Oryzias latipes: one gene and its partners. The protein of the gene in region 2 purifies or fractionates together with the protein of the main gene of each other region. This does not show direct contact. Links are inferred from orthologs where the notes say so. Each region holds a gene or a part of one and is shown on either strand. Other genes may lie near its edges. The genes, in order: cdc37, stk38l and mob2.

Evidence for each region.
Region 1: the proteins of stk38l (region 2) and cdc37 purify together in Homo sapiens (affinity purification with mass spectrometry; 3 studies listed by BioGRID and IntAct, with this or other methods). This does not show direct contact. The link is inferred for Oryzias latipes from reciprocal best matches to the Homo sapiens genes STK38L and CDC37.
Region 3: the proteins of stk38l (region 2) and mob2 purify together in Homo sapiens (affinity purification with mass spectrometry; 9 studies listed by BioGRID and IntAct, counting the BioPlex papers as one, with this or other methods). This does not show direct contact. The link is inferred for Oryzias latipes from reciprocal best matches to the Homo sapiens genes STK38L and MOB2.

What each region holds. Positions count from the first base shown.
Region 1 is NC_019866.2:8,383,052-8,387,477, reverse strand, and holds the start of cdc37 (hsp90 co-chaperone Cdc37), read left to right. Parts: upstream 1-1,612; 5' UTR 1,613-1,771; intron 1,772-1,852; 5' UTR 1,853-1,853; coding exon 1,854-1,961; intron 1,962-2,151; coding exon 2,152-2,427; intron 2,428-2,584; coding exon 2,585-2,690; intron 2,691-2,776; coding exon 2,777-2,892; intron 2,893-3,032; coding exon 3,033-3,155; intron 3,156-3,403; coding exon 3,404-3,586; intron 3,587-3,668; coding exon 3,669-3,740; intron 3,741-3,839; coding exon 3,840-3,965; 3' UTR 3,966-4,426. Other genes in the region: cmc4 (cx9C motif-containing protein 4), read left to right, coding at 273-330, 410-552. UniProt on the Homo sapiens protein: Co-chaperone that binds to numerous kinases and promotes their interaction with the Hsp90 complex, resulting in stabilization and promotion of their activity. Inhibits HSP90AA1 ATPase activity.
Region 2 is NC_019881.2:3,870,257-3,873,867, forward strand, and holds part of stk38l (serine/threonine-protein kinase 38-like), read right to left. Parts: intron 3,022-3,611; coding exon 2,897-3,021; 3' UTR 1-2,896. UniProt on the Homo sapiens protein: Involved in the regulation of structural processes in differentiating and mature neuronal cells.
Region 3 is NC_019864.2:31,188,606-31,192,253, forward strand, and holds part of mob2 (MOB kinase activator 2), read right to left. Parts: intron 2,725-3,648; coding exon 2,564-2,724; intron 1,702-2,563; coding exon 1,605-1,701; intron 443-1,604; coding exon 318-442; intron 1-317. UniProt on the Homo sapiens protein: Stimulates the autophosphorylation and kinase activity of STK38 and STK38L.

The DNA of each region.
Region 1 (4,426 bases), on a different chromosome or scaffold from region 2:
TAAATGCATGTATTTCATTGCCCACACGATGTCGCTGTTGAGCAGATGTCTAAATGTAATTGGCTAACAGCATGACACGTGATCAAAACAATCCCTTGAAAACGGAAGTGGTTGGGTTCCCAGCAGTAGTAGGTCGATCTGCGTATCAAATATTACTGGTATGTCTAACTTTAAAACCATGCCCCCAATCTTTATCCAATAAGTAAAGTTTAAGATTCTGCCCATGTTTTATTCATATCATTGTTTTCATTCTCACATGTTTTCCTTTAGATATGCCACAGAAAGATCCGTGTCAAAAGCAAGCATGTGCCATTCAAACGTGTTTACAAGGTACACATTGACGTTGTTGTTGTGCTCTTCTAATGCAAATCTCAAACAAATTTGTGAACTTTTTGTTCTCATCTCACAGCTAACAAGTATGTGGAAAGTAAATGCGAGGATGTGATCCGAGAGATGCAGCGGTGCTGTGCAGCGCAAACTGGAAACTCCGTCTGCTGCTCAGGTTTCAAAGACTCCAAACTGACAAACTTCAAACCGAGCAAAAATAGCTGACACCACCTGCTGATGACTTGCATTCAATGGAAATAAAAAGTATATAAAATTGTCTAGTTCATCTTCTTTTCTCTGTTAGATTGAACATTTTCTAGCTATTTTATTCAAACGTGTTGTCACAGGTTATGATCGCAACACCGGCGATGAAGAAAAAAGGAAAACATTCACAAACTGATCTTGTTTTCCTTTCTTAGAACTTGAACTTTTCCTTCTTGGGAACGGACAAACTAAATTATCATCTATCAGTCTGGAGCACACATCTATATCTGAAACATAACTATATAAAAATCATATCTGGCCATTTATATCAAGAACGAAAAATAGCAGTAAGCAAATGAATATCATACTCTTAGTTTACCATATTACGTAGGTACATTTTCTAAATCTTATATGTAAAAATAATAATCTTCTAATATGTGTTCAGATCAGCATTCTAATTTATTCTTAATTCGCCTTGAAAAATGTAATCATTCGGGTCATGGTGCTTTTCTTTCTTTTTTATATTTAAATATAATTTCCCTTTTCTTTAATTTTTATTGAACAATTGCAACATACAGAACAAAGAAATGCAACAATTATGCACAGATAATGTACATTACAATTCTGAATACAGAATAAACGTGTTACATGCTTAAGAAGATTCTAATTATTTCTAACAATCACAAAAGGGAATAAAAAATTAAAATAAATAAAGAAAATAGAACTAAACATAGAAAAAAAATGATAAAATAAAAAGAGAAAATGCGAGAGTAAACTTGTGTTATTATTCCAAAAGATTTACAAATGTTAATTGTTTTTTGAGCTTTTGTGTTTTTTGAAGCTGAAATTAAGTTTAAATATTGCTGCAGTTCCAGTTTTAACACAAATAAATCAGTTTTTTATAGGAGAATTTGCTTTTATGAATATCAAATTTAGCCATAAATAACAACATGTTTATACAAAAGAAAGCATCACAGTCTTTCAGATTAAAACTATGAAAACCAAATATTTTCCGTTTTTGGTCATTGTTTCCGGTGTCTAAATTACGACGTACAATGTACGCGCCTTACGTATGACGTAAACGGAAGCTTTGGGGAGAATTTCTTCTAGAACTCTGTAGCAGCTTCCCGTTAGCTCTTGCTTGGGAGTAACAAATCAATTCGCACGACCAAATTTGGAGTACAGAAACACAGAGCACCAACACACATTTCTGAAGGGTTCGAGTGTGAATATTTCTTAGGTCGGTATTTTAGCGAGCGTGATTTAGACGCCAACTTAACCGAGTTCTAGTCGAAGCTAGCGCTGCTTCTTCTTGCTGCAGGATGTCCAGGATAGATTACAGCGTGTGGGATCACATTGAGGTATCGGATGATGAAGATGATACCCACCCAAATATTGACACTCCCAGTCTCTTCAGATGGAGACACCAGGTAAATATAAAAGCTTTTCGGAAAAGTGCTTAGCGTGATCGTTAGCTTTCACTTTCTGCTTGTAATTCTTCAGCCATGCTAATTTTCCTACTTACTTCGGATTCCTGAATTTGAACTCAAACTGGACAAGAGCTGATGAGTATTTGAAATTGTTTACACATGATGTTCACGCGTGTGATCTGTTCCTTAGGCGCGCGTGGAGCGAATGGAAGAATTCCAGAAGAAAGGCGAAGACCTAAAAAAAGGACTCGCCGAATGTCGGCGTAAACTCACGGAGTTACAGACAAAGATCCAGGACCTGAACCTTTCCGATGGTGTCAAAACAGAGCTCACCAAATACCAAGCCGATGAGAAGAAGCTGAAAAAAGAGGAGCGGGACTGGGAGAAAAAGCTGGATGAGTACTACAGGGAGGAGAAGAAGATGCCGTGGAACGTGGACACACTCAGCAAGGAAGGGTTCAGCAAGGTGACTTCTATATGCAGATAGAAACCTGTGGTTTTCTAGCAAGAGGTTGGAAAATCCAATGAAGCTCACATTAGTCCGTTGACATTTTATAAACAAAGTAGTTATTTCAAATCAATGCTAGATGGTGTCAAATCTTGATCTTTGTTCTCGCTTATAGAGCATAGTGAACATAAAACCTGAAACTTCGGAAGATACGGAAGAAGAAAAGGAGAAAAAACACAAAACATTTGTTGAAAAACACGAGAAGCAGATTAAACATTTCGGTAAGCCTGAGTAACTTCCATAAGGTCATTCTGTTGTCTTTTCCCTTCTTTAAAAACAATTTAAGTCTATTTTTATTAACTTACAGGGATGTTGCGACGATGGGACGACAGCCAAAAGTATCTCTCTGACAATCCTCATCTTGTATGTGAAGAAACCGCTAACTATCTCGTCATCATGTGCATTGATCTGGAAGTTGAGGAGGTAAACACATATACTTATATTTTTATTTTATATTCTTGTATCTTTGTTTTTTAGCATATCTTCTCCTCAAAGTGTGTGCTCCTGTTTGCAGCTGTTTAGGTTTTTCATTTCTTAGTAAAGCTTTGCTTTCCTATTTGCAGAAACACGCACTGATGGAGCAGGTGGCCCATCAGACCATTGTCATGCAGTTCATTCTTGAGTTGGCAAAAAGCCTCAAAGTGGATCCCCGCGGTTGCTTCCGTCAGTTTTTTGCAAAGATTAAAGTAAGCAAGTTTATTTAATTTTATTGTGTTTAATTGCTCTGAACTTATTCATTTTAAAGAAGATGTTTGGGCAGGAAAAGAAAGGGTGCTTTCATAAACAAGCAGTACAAAAATCAAAGGCAGTCTGTCTGTTATTCCTGGACTAAAACAGATTATTTTAAAAGTCCTTTTTTTTTTACCAGAAGTTTCTGTAAAATTTTATACTTCTGGTTTGGAATGTTCACATTTGTTCATTTGTTTTCTTACAGACCGCAGATCAGCAATACCAAGATGCTTTTAACGACGAGCTTGAGGCGTTTAAAGAACGGGTGAGAGGAAGAGCAAAGATTCGCATAGAAAAGGCCCTGAAAGAATACGAGGAAGAGGAGCGGCAGAAGCGGTTGGGGCCTGGAGGCCTGGATCCAGTTGAAGTGTATGAGTCGCTGCCTGCTGTAAGTGCATTCTAACAAGCAGGGTTTCATTTTTTGTCTCTATTGAGTTTGAAATGCTCACATAGTTTGCCTTCAACCACAGGAAATGCAGAAATGCTTTGATGAGAAGGACATCCAAATGTTACAAGAAGTCATCAGTAAAATGGATCCAACTGTAAGCTATACAGTTTTGTCTGGTTGAATCTTTTTGGATTTAGGTGCTTTTTTTTTTTTTAAGAAATCCCTGTTAACATGTGACTGTCGTGTCTTTTAGGAGGCAAAACATCATATGAAGCGTTGCATTGACTCAGGTCTGTGGGTCCCCAACTCTGGGGAAGGAAAGGAGGAAGAAGGGACCTATGAAGAGGTGAAACGGGAGCCGGAAGAAACAAAGGAGTGATCACAATGGATTTGTTGTTTGCAATTGTATTCACTTACTGTACCCCAGTCTCATTTAATGTAAAACAGCTTGCCAATAAACACCATCATTTCTTTAAACTTTTTGAGTACAAATTTGAATTATAAATGTGTAATAAGTCACATATTTGAAACAACAAAAACAAACTGTGTTTCTGCATCGCCTGAGCTGAATGTTTTTCCTTCATTTGTTATGCTTTGTTGGTATTGGTGCATAGTTGCAAGCTTAAGTCTAACATTGTCACATTTTTTTGCAACAGATATTTTATGTGACATTTGTACAACATTCACCGTTAAGTTCCAATGTTTTGATTTTTTTTTTTTCTTTCCTCCGGGTCTTTTACATTATTCAGGACAACAAAAACATTGACTTGTGCTCAAATAATCATTCAAACTGCTTGATTGATGAGCTTTATAGAACAGCTGGTAAATGAGGTTTCTAAG
Region 2 (3,611 bases):
AAGCCACAGCTACATCCGTTTTTCCAGAACGGGTGAGGATTTCCAGTTCTTTGGTAACTCTTTATGGCGCTGTGCAGAGTCACACCTCGAAGCAGGTTAGATCTGTGACAGAGCGGAAGTTCCCGTCCACGTTTGACAAAAACCTAGCACACGCTTAAAGATGCAAAAACAACCCCCGCTTTGCTTGATTAGGATGTTTTCCTCTCTTTCTTATAGTTTTTTCCTTGTTTTTACAACTGTCCTGTTTCAAACTCCTGATCTTGCTGTTTTATTTAAGATTTTAAACTTAAGAACTTTAAGCCCCTCCCCCTTTTCAAAGCCTCATGTTAGTCTAGCCTATGTCTTTAATAATCCCTGCTAAATTCAAGCTAAACATCTGGTTGAAGATTTCTCAGCTACATAAAAAGGCACTTTGCAACGTTCTATCCATTGGGTCCTTAACTAGTGAAAATTCAGGCAAATATCAGTCAGTGCAGCGGCAACCGAAGAGAAATTATGAAATGCACGTTAGTTTGAGAACAAACACCATTTTTTGTACTTAACACTTGACAACAGTTTGAGTTTATCCTACTTATTTTTGAAATGTATCACCACATTTCGAGGAGGGTTCCAGCATGACTTGAGAGTTTTCTTGTTTGTTTTGCCTCATTATCTCATTGAAAGGCGCAGAAATGACGCACAAAAAGTCATAACAACACAGTGGAGGAACTGCACAGGAAAGGCAGCAGCAAACTTTCAGCAGTCAGAATTTATCTAAAAAATACTGCATTAAGTGAGTGGAGGGGGTAAGAAATGCAGATTTACACATTAGCAATGAAACAGGGTGGCTAATGTTAGCACCAGTCAATGCTAGCACAAACTGACAGATGTTATTACCAATTGGCTGATGCTAGCAACAATCGACAGATGCTAGCACCTATTGGCTAAAGCTAACACCAAGTAATGCTAGCACAAATTGCCTAATGATCGCACCAATCGACAGATGTTAGCACAAAAAACTGATGCTAGCATCAATTGGTTAATGCTTGCTTGCATCAATCGATCCTAGCACTAACTGATTGATGTTATTACCAATTGGCTGCTGCTACCACCAATTGACAGATGCTAGCACCTTTTGCCTAAAGCTAGAAACAATCAATGCTAGCACAAATCATAATGATCGCACCTATTGGCAGATGGTACGACAAATAAACTGATGGTAGCATCAATTGGCTAATGCTAGCATCAATCAATCCTAGCACAAACTGACAGATGTTATTACCAATTGAAAGATGCTAGCACCTTTGGCTAAAGCTAGCACAAATTGATTAATGATCACACTAATCAACTAATGCTAGCATCAATTGCCTAATGCTTGCATCAATCAATAGCAATAATCAAATGATGCTAGCACCAATCAATGTTAGCACCTGTTGACTGATACAAGCACCAAGTGGCTGATGCTAGCATCAAATCTGCAATGTTTTCTTTGTATATTCTGAAACTGCTATGGCTACAAAATGTTTCCCAAATTTATGAAATTTCTCAAAACAATTCTGGGATTCTACATTTCTTTAGGAGGTTTCTAGCTCTCTGCCTTGTATGGCTCAAATTTGTAACATGTTTGAAAAAAATCTAATGTTTTTTTTTTTTAAATACCTGTTGAGTCCTCATGTATGTATCAAACGTCTTTATGCTTACTCAATTTAATTTTGTAAATCTGAAATTGTAAAAAGTTTGAGCTTACATGATGGACTGGAGACCCAGTGAACTGAACTGAGTCTTACATTATTTTGTTAACGCTTTTGTCCCACTTGTGACCAGAGGGACATTAGCTTAAGTGGTGAAGCTGATCTGTAATTTACTTTGACAGTCCGCTCATGCAAAAACAATTGTTGGAACTCTTAGTAAAAAATGTTCTTTAAATAATGCATTTGCTTGCAGTTTTCAATATCTGAATTATTTTATTGCAGCCTAATGTGATGCTAACTTTAGTCTTTGCAAATAACCCTAAGCCAAGAGACAACTTTGTTTTTGGTAATCCTTGATGCAGATTGTACCATTACCATTATGGAAATAAATAAGTAAATCAATCCTTTCGCTGTTGCTATTTTACTCTTTCTTTTTTTCTTATTTTTTACTCTTTTTTACTTTCTTTGGAGCAGCTGCGGTTAGTCTAGTCTTGTCAGGAACAACTGGTGCAAATAGATGAAAATTACATTACTGTATGAGATTTTGGGTCAAATTAATTTAGAGAATCCTGTAAAATATTTTCGTCAGCCATTTTTCATGGATGTCATTGATAAGATTAAGCGTCTCATCCTCTTTAACACTTTTTAAAAATAAGAATCCTCCGGAGCAGTTGATCTTGTTTGGTTAAAGAAAAACCCCAGTAAATCATGCTGGAACAATCCTTACAGTAAAGAGCGTCTGCTTTGTTGTTTCCAATAGTTCATCCAGAGTTTGACTACAGTAAACTGAGCTTCAGTTTGCATTAGAGGTTCTTTAGCCAGCAGTGTAGTCACTATTGTTGTCAGGCCAACAAGGCGGTGGTCGGCATTGAACCCTCATCTCCATTAGAACGAGGTCAAATTAGAAACTAAAACCAAAATAAACAAAGACGTTTTGCCACTGAACATGCAGATGTCCTGATTTGGAGTCACAGTTAGTGACCTGGCTTGAGCGCTATGGCTAAATACGGCACAAATGATACAAATAACCGAGGTAATGCGGTGATGCTCCTTAGTGAGCTCCTGCAGCTCTTGTGCAGCTCTGCAGACCTAAGTAACTCTGGATGAGGGTTAAGTTTGACTGACAGGCCAGCGGCGTGGCCTTCAGCACCAGCGGGGCTCCGTGGCCCGACCCTGTGTCCGTAAAGTTTTTTCTCCGAGGTGCGGCCTCCACGCCCTCCGCTGCGTCAGGCCTTTCCCGCCTTCATGTAGGTGGGGATGGTGCCTCGCTGGGTGAGACCTTCAAAGCGCTTGTATGTGTAGTTGAGGAACACCCAGTCCTTTGACTTGAAGTCAGGTTCTGTGGAGTTGGCTGTTTGGAAACACAGAACACAAGGATTAGCTCAAAATATTAAACAGAAACTAGAACAGCAGACTTGATCCAGTGACCAAATATCACAATCGTAAAATCGTGTGTGGATTTCCGCGTCAAACGTGAGACTAGAGGACACCTTTAACTTGTATAAAAATGGTTGGGCAGCCGTCTATAGACACCAACTTGCAGTCTAAATAAAAGTGATTCAGTGATTCAGTTGGCAAAGAACCAACCAATCAGGGACTCAGCTTTGGCGAGTGATATGTTGGTGACATGATCAGGGGGTGGAGACCAAAACCAACATAAAGCAGCGGTCCCCAACCTTTTGAACGCCACGGACCGGCATGACGTCACATAAAGTTTTCACGAAACAGTCTTGAAATTGTAGGCGGATGATTGTTTTCGCTACGCTACGATGGAGGAACAGAGTCGTCACAAGACGAACCCTGAGCTTTTATTTTGACACCCATGACATTGTACATCGCACAGGTGTCATCATCCTCTCCTTTTCACACTCATGGTGCAAAAAAGTAGTACTGTCTATTAAAAGTAGCTTTCTTTTTTTTAGGAAGGGGAAGGCTCCTCTT
Region 3 (3,648 bases), on a different chromosome or scaffold from region 2:
AACTGTGTTTCTCTGTGGAGAATATGTTTTATGCGTTAAGTCAGAGACTCTGGACTGGATGATTGGTTCTCATTTTTGTTGGAGATTAAAAAAATTCCCTTGTTGGTGACAAAGTAAAGGTTGTTTTAGGAAAACTTCATAAGTTATATTTTGATGTCATGAATTCAGATTAAAAAACCCTCAAAATGAGGCTTTTGGCAGAAATTCTTAGGTTAGATTGTAAATCTGGCATGACAGCTCTACGTTTACTCTTCCTGTCGGACTCTGCAGCATCACTGAAGCTCCGCCTCTGCACCAGCAGGGGGCGCTGATCTCACCGTATTTAGTGGGGAAGATCTCCTCGTCCGTCACCAGCTTCTGACAGAGACTCATGACGAAGTCGACGTACTGCGGCGCCGTGCACTTCGTCTTCCTCCCCTTCTCGTCATACCAGTAGTAGGTTCTGGAAGAGAAAGATGGCGTCAATGCCGCCGCCGCAGCGTTTCACAACAGCATGGGGAAAGGGGGCGGGGCTACTCCAGGGTACAGTCTGGAATGGAGGATCGGCTGTGGGGGCCACGTTTCCTGGAGCGTGCGTCAGATGAGCAGGTCACATGACCTCCTCTCTGTCAAACGTCACCTGCTGCTTCAGAGGCGACATCAGAACCAGAACCTTCCTGGTTCAGAGATCATGAGATACCCCCCCCCCCCCCCCCCCCCCCCCCCCAATCCAGAAACCTGCTGCACTGTGGGTTTAAAACCAGAACCTTCCAGAAGTTCTGAGCTCCTCATGAAAGAGCCGTTCGGTTTTGGCTGTGAACGCCACAAAGGGGGGGATAAGCCGGGATGGATCCAGCCCCCCCCCCAACCATAGACCGCTTTAAGTGCGGGTTAAGAGCCCCCCCCCCCCCCCCGGAGCTCATGGAAACATTTGCTCTATTTTTAGAAGCTGGCGGCGCCTGCAGGCCCAGAATGACGCTGCTGCAACCGTGGCTCTGCCAGAGTTCACCACAGAGGGGGGGGCACCCACAGGGAAGGGTGGGGGACCCACAGGAAAGGGGGGGGGGGGACTGGAGCCCAACAGTCAGAATTACAGACACTGAAGTCCAGAGAGGAGGAACCGTTTCTCCTCTGGATCCAATCTCTGGCTCCGCCTACGACCGAACCGGCTGCTGCCCCTCCCGCCGGCGCCAAGCCTGCTTCTGGGTGGAGTGGAAACCCCCCCCGGGCCGACCTCCTGGCCGGCTGGGTCAGAGCGGCTCTTCCAGTGGAACCGGCTTCCCCAGCGGGAAGGATGAAAGGCATCCCGCCAAAAAACAACACAGGCGGAACCACACCCCCCCACACAACAGCAGGTAGATCAACCGCCTCCCTGGGAAAACTGCAAAGGGGCGGGGCTTCAAACAGCAGCAATAGTGCAAGGTTTGATTGATGAAAACGATCAAAGCACAGCAGGAATCACACACAGTCTGGGACGCTGCACCACAGCCACAGCATAGCTGCTGTTTTCATTTAGCAGCAGTGGGTCTAACCCTTCGGCCCGTTCCCAGACGGACCAGAACTAGCCGACCTCACGTGACCCTTCGGGAGGATCCGGGGGTTAAAGGACAGGAAGGGGGGCTTACGTGCTGCAGGCGGCGCTCATGGCCTGGCAGGTGTCCCCGGTGCAGAACTCGGATATGGTGCTGTACTGCAGGTTGATGAGGTTGAAGAAGGTGGTCGCTGTGGAGGAGAGGGCAGCACGTTAGGAGGAATCGGATCAGAACCGAACATTCTGGTCTACAGACCGAATCTGGAAGGGTTCCCACCTTCCAGAACCTTGCTGGAATTTGTTATTGCGGAACCTGACTTCAGACACGTCCAGAACGTTTGTGACACATCAGCCCCCAAACACATGACAGAAGAGAGGAGCTGAACCCAGAGGGGCTCAGAGGAGGCATGTGAGTCGGGGTGGGGGGGGGGGGGGGGTGTATCGGACTATTTTATTTGTCAACACTAGAAAGCCCAAACAACCCTGAGTGAATTTAGAAGCAGACGTGTAGTTCAACCTCCGACCACTAGTGGGCAGCGCAGAACGCCTTCCTGTTTCAGCCGCTCGGCGCCAAAACATCACCGCCTGAACCGCCTCGTGGCAGAGCTGACTCAATTGCTGTGTTTTTAGTTTAGTTTGTTTTAAAGCTCCGGTTTGAGCTCCGTTAGAACCGTTTCAGAACCGGTAAGAATCCAAACTACCCATCCTGGTTGGTGTCTTTGGTGGTTTAATGCTAAACTCATAAATAAACAGAACTTCCTTTTCTTATAGAACCTTATTGGTTAAAGCTCGTCTGAGCTTCGGTTCTTCATACTGAAAGTTCTGTTGTCGTGGAAACCAAACGGTGCTGAAAACCTTTTTCCTTAATGAACCAACCAGAAGAACCAGGAAGTTGCTGTTCTCAAAGCTTCTGCCATGTTGGATAGCGCCTCAAAGGGATTTTATGGTTGAATGCACGTGAAAGGTGCTTTATAACTTTTCCCGCCCAGAACCGGCCCACCTGAGAGAGCCGGATCTGGGCGGGACAATCTTGTTCAGACGCTTGTCACTCACTGTTGCTGGCCAGCCATTCGTTCAGGTCTATCTCCCGGGGCAGCACCACCAGCTCCTTCAGGTCAAAGTCCACCACCCGGGTTTTGGTGAACTCCGGCTCCAGGTACTGCTTCTTCTCCTCCACCGGCGCCTTCTTTCCGTTGGGCTTCGGCTTGGACTTCCTGCGACACAGAGAGGAGGAGGAGGGGGGTTAAAGTGGAGAAGAGGAAACAGAAGCTGTAGTATGTCGGGGGAGGACGGCGTGAAAGGAGGGGGGAGGAATCTCCCTCGCAGCTCCACGTCATGCGGCTGTGAAACAAAACCAACCGGATTTTCAAGAAGCGCCAACAGGAAGTCACCTGTCAGTCTGATGACCCCAATAATGTTTCTGGGAAAACAGAAACTTTCACAGGACCCCACCCCCAACAGAAAACAGCACGGGGTGGGGGGGGGGCATCACGCCAGCTTTCCAACTTCTAGCAGACGCTCGGCCGTCCACGGACGCCTTTGACACCTGGACGCCACATCACACCCCGCCTTCACGTCCAGAGCTCCCCCTCCTCCTTCCCCCACTGACCCAGGCGCTGATTCTGAGGAACAGAAGAGGGGCCAGAACACTGTCCCACCTTCAACTCGCGGGTTCGATTTCTACAAAACTGTTTTTAGTCCCTGAGCAGCTTGTATCACAAATGGAGAAGAAAGACGAAGATCAGCGACCCGCTCCAGGCAGAGACTCCCTGCCCTGACCCCCCCGATGTATTTCTGCAGGAAGAGCTTTTAGCCTCTGCAAACAAGCAGGCATGTCCACACGGGGGTGGGGTGGGGGGTCAGTAAACATACAGAGATCTCCATCAGCGTTTGAACTTCCCAAGTCATTAAACCGGGTCAGAACCACTTCATGATGAATGTCAGGACTGTTCTCTGATCAGATCTCCAGCTGCTCCTCATCGTCATCTTCCTCCTTCAGGCTCATCAGGTCAGAGTTAGATGTCTGGACGTTTGTCCAAAGCCCCCCACCACCTCAAATGAAGTCCTTTTACAGAAGTTCTTGCGGGACCCCCTCCCCCAGGTTAGGGGTTCATCCCAAGAACCTGCCGCTGCCAGGT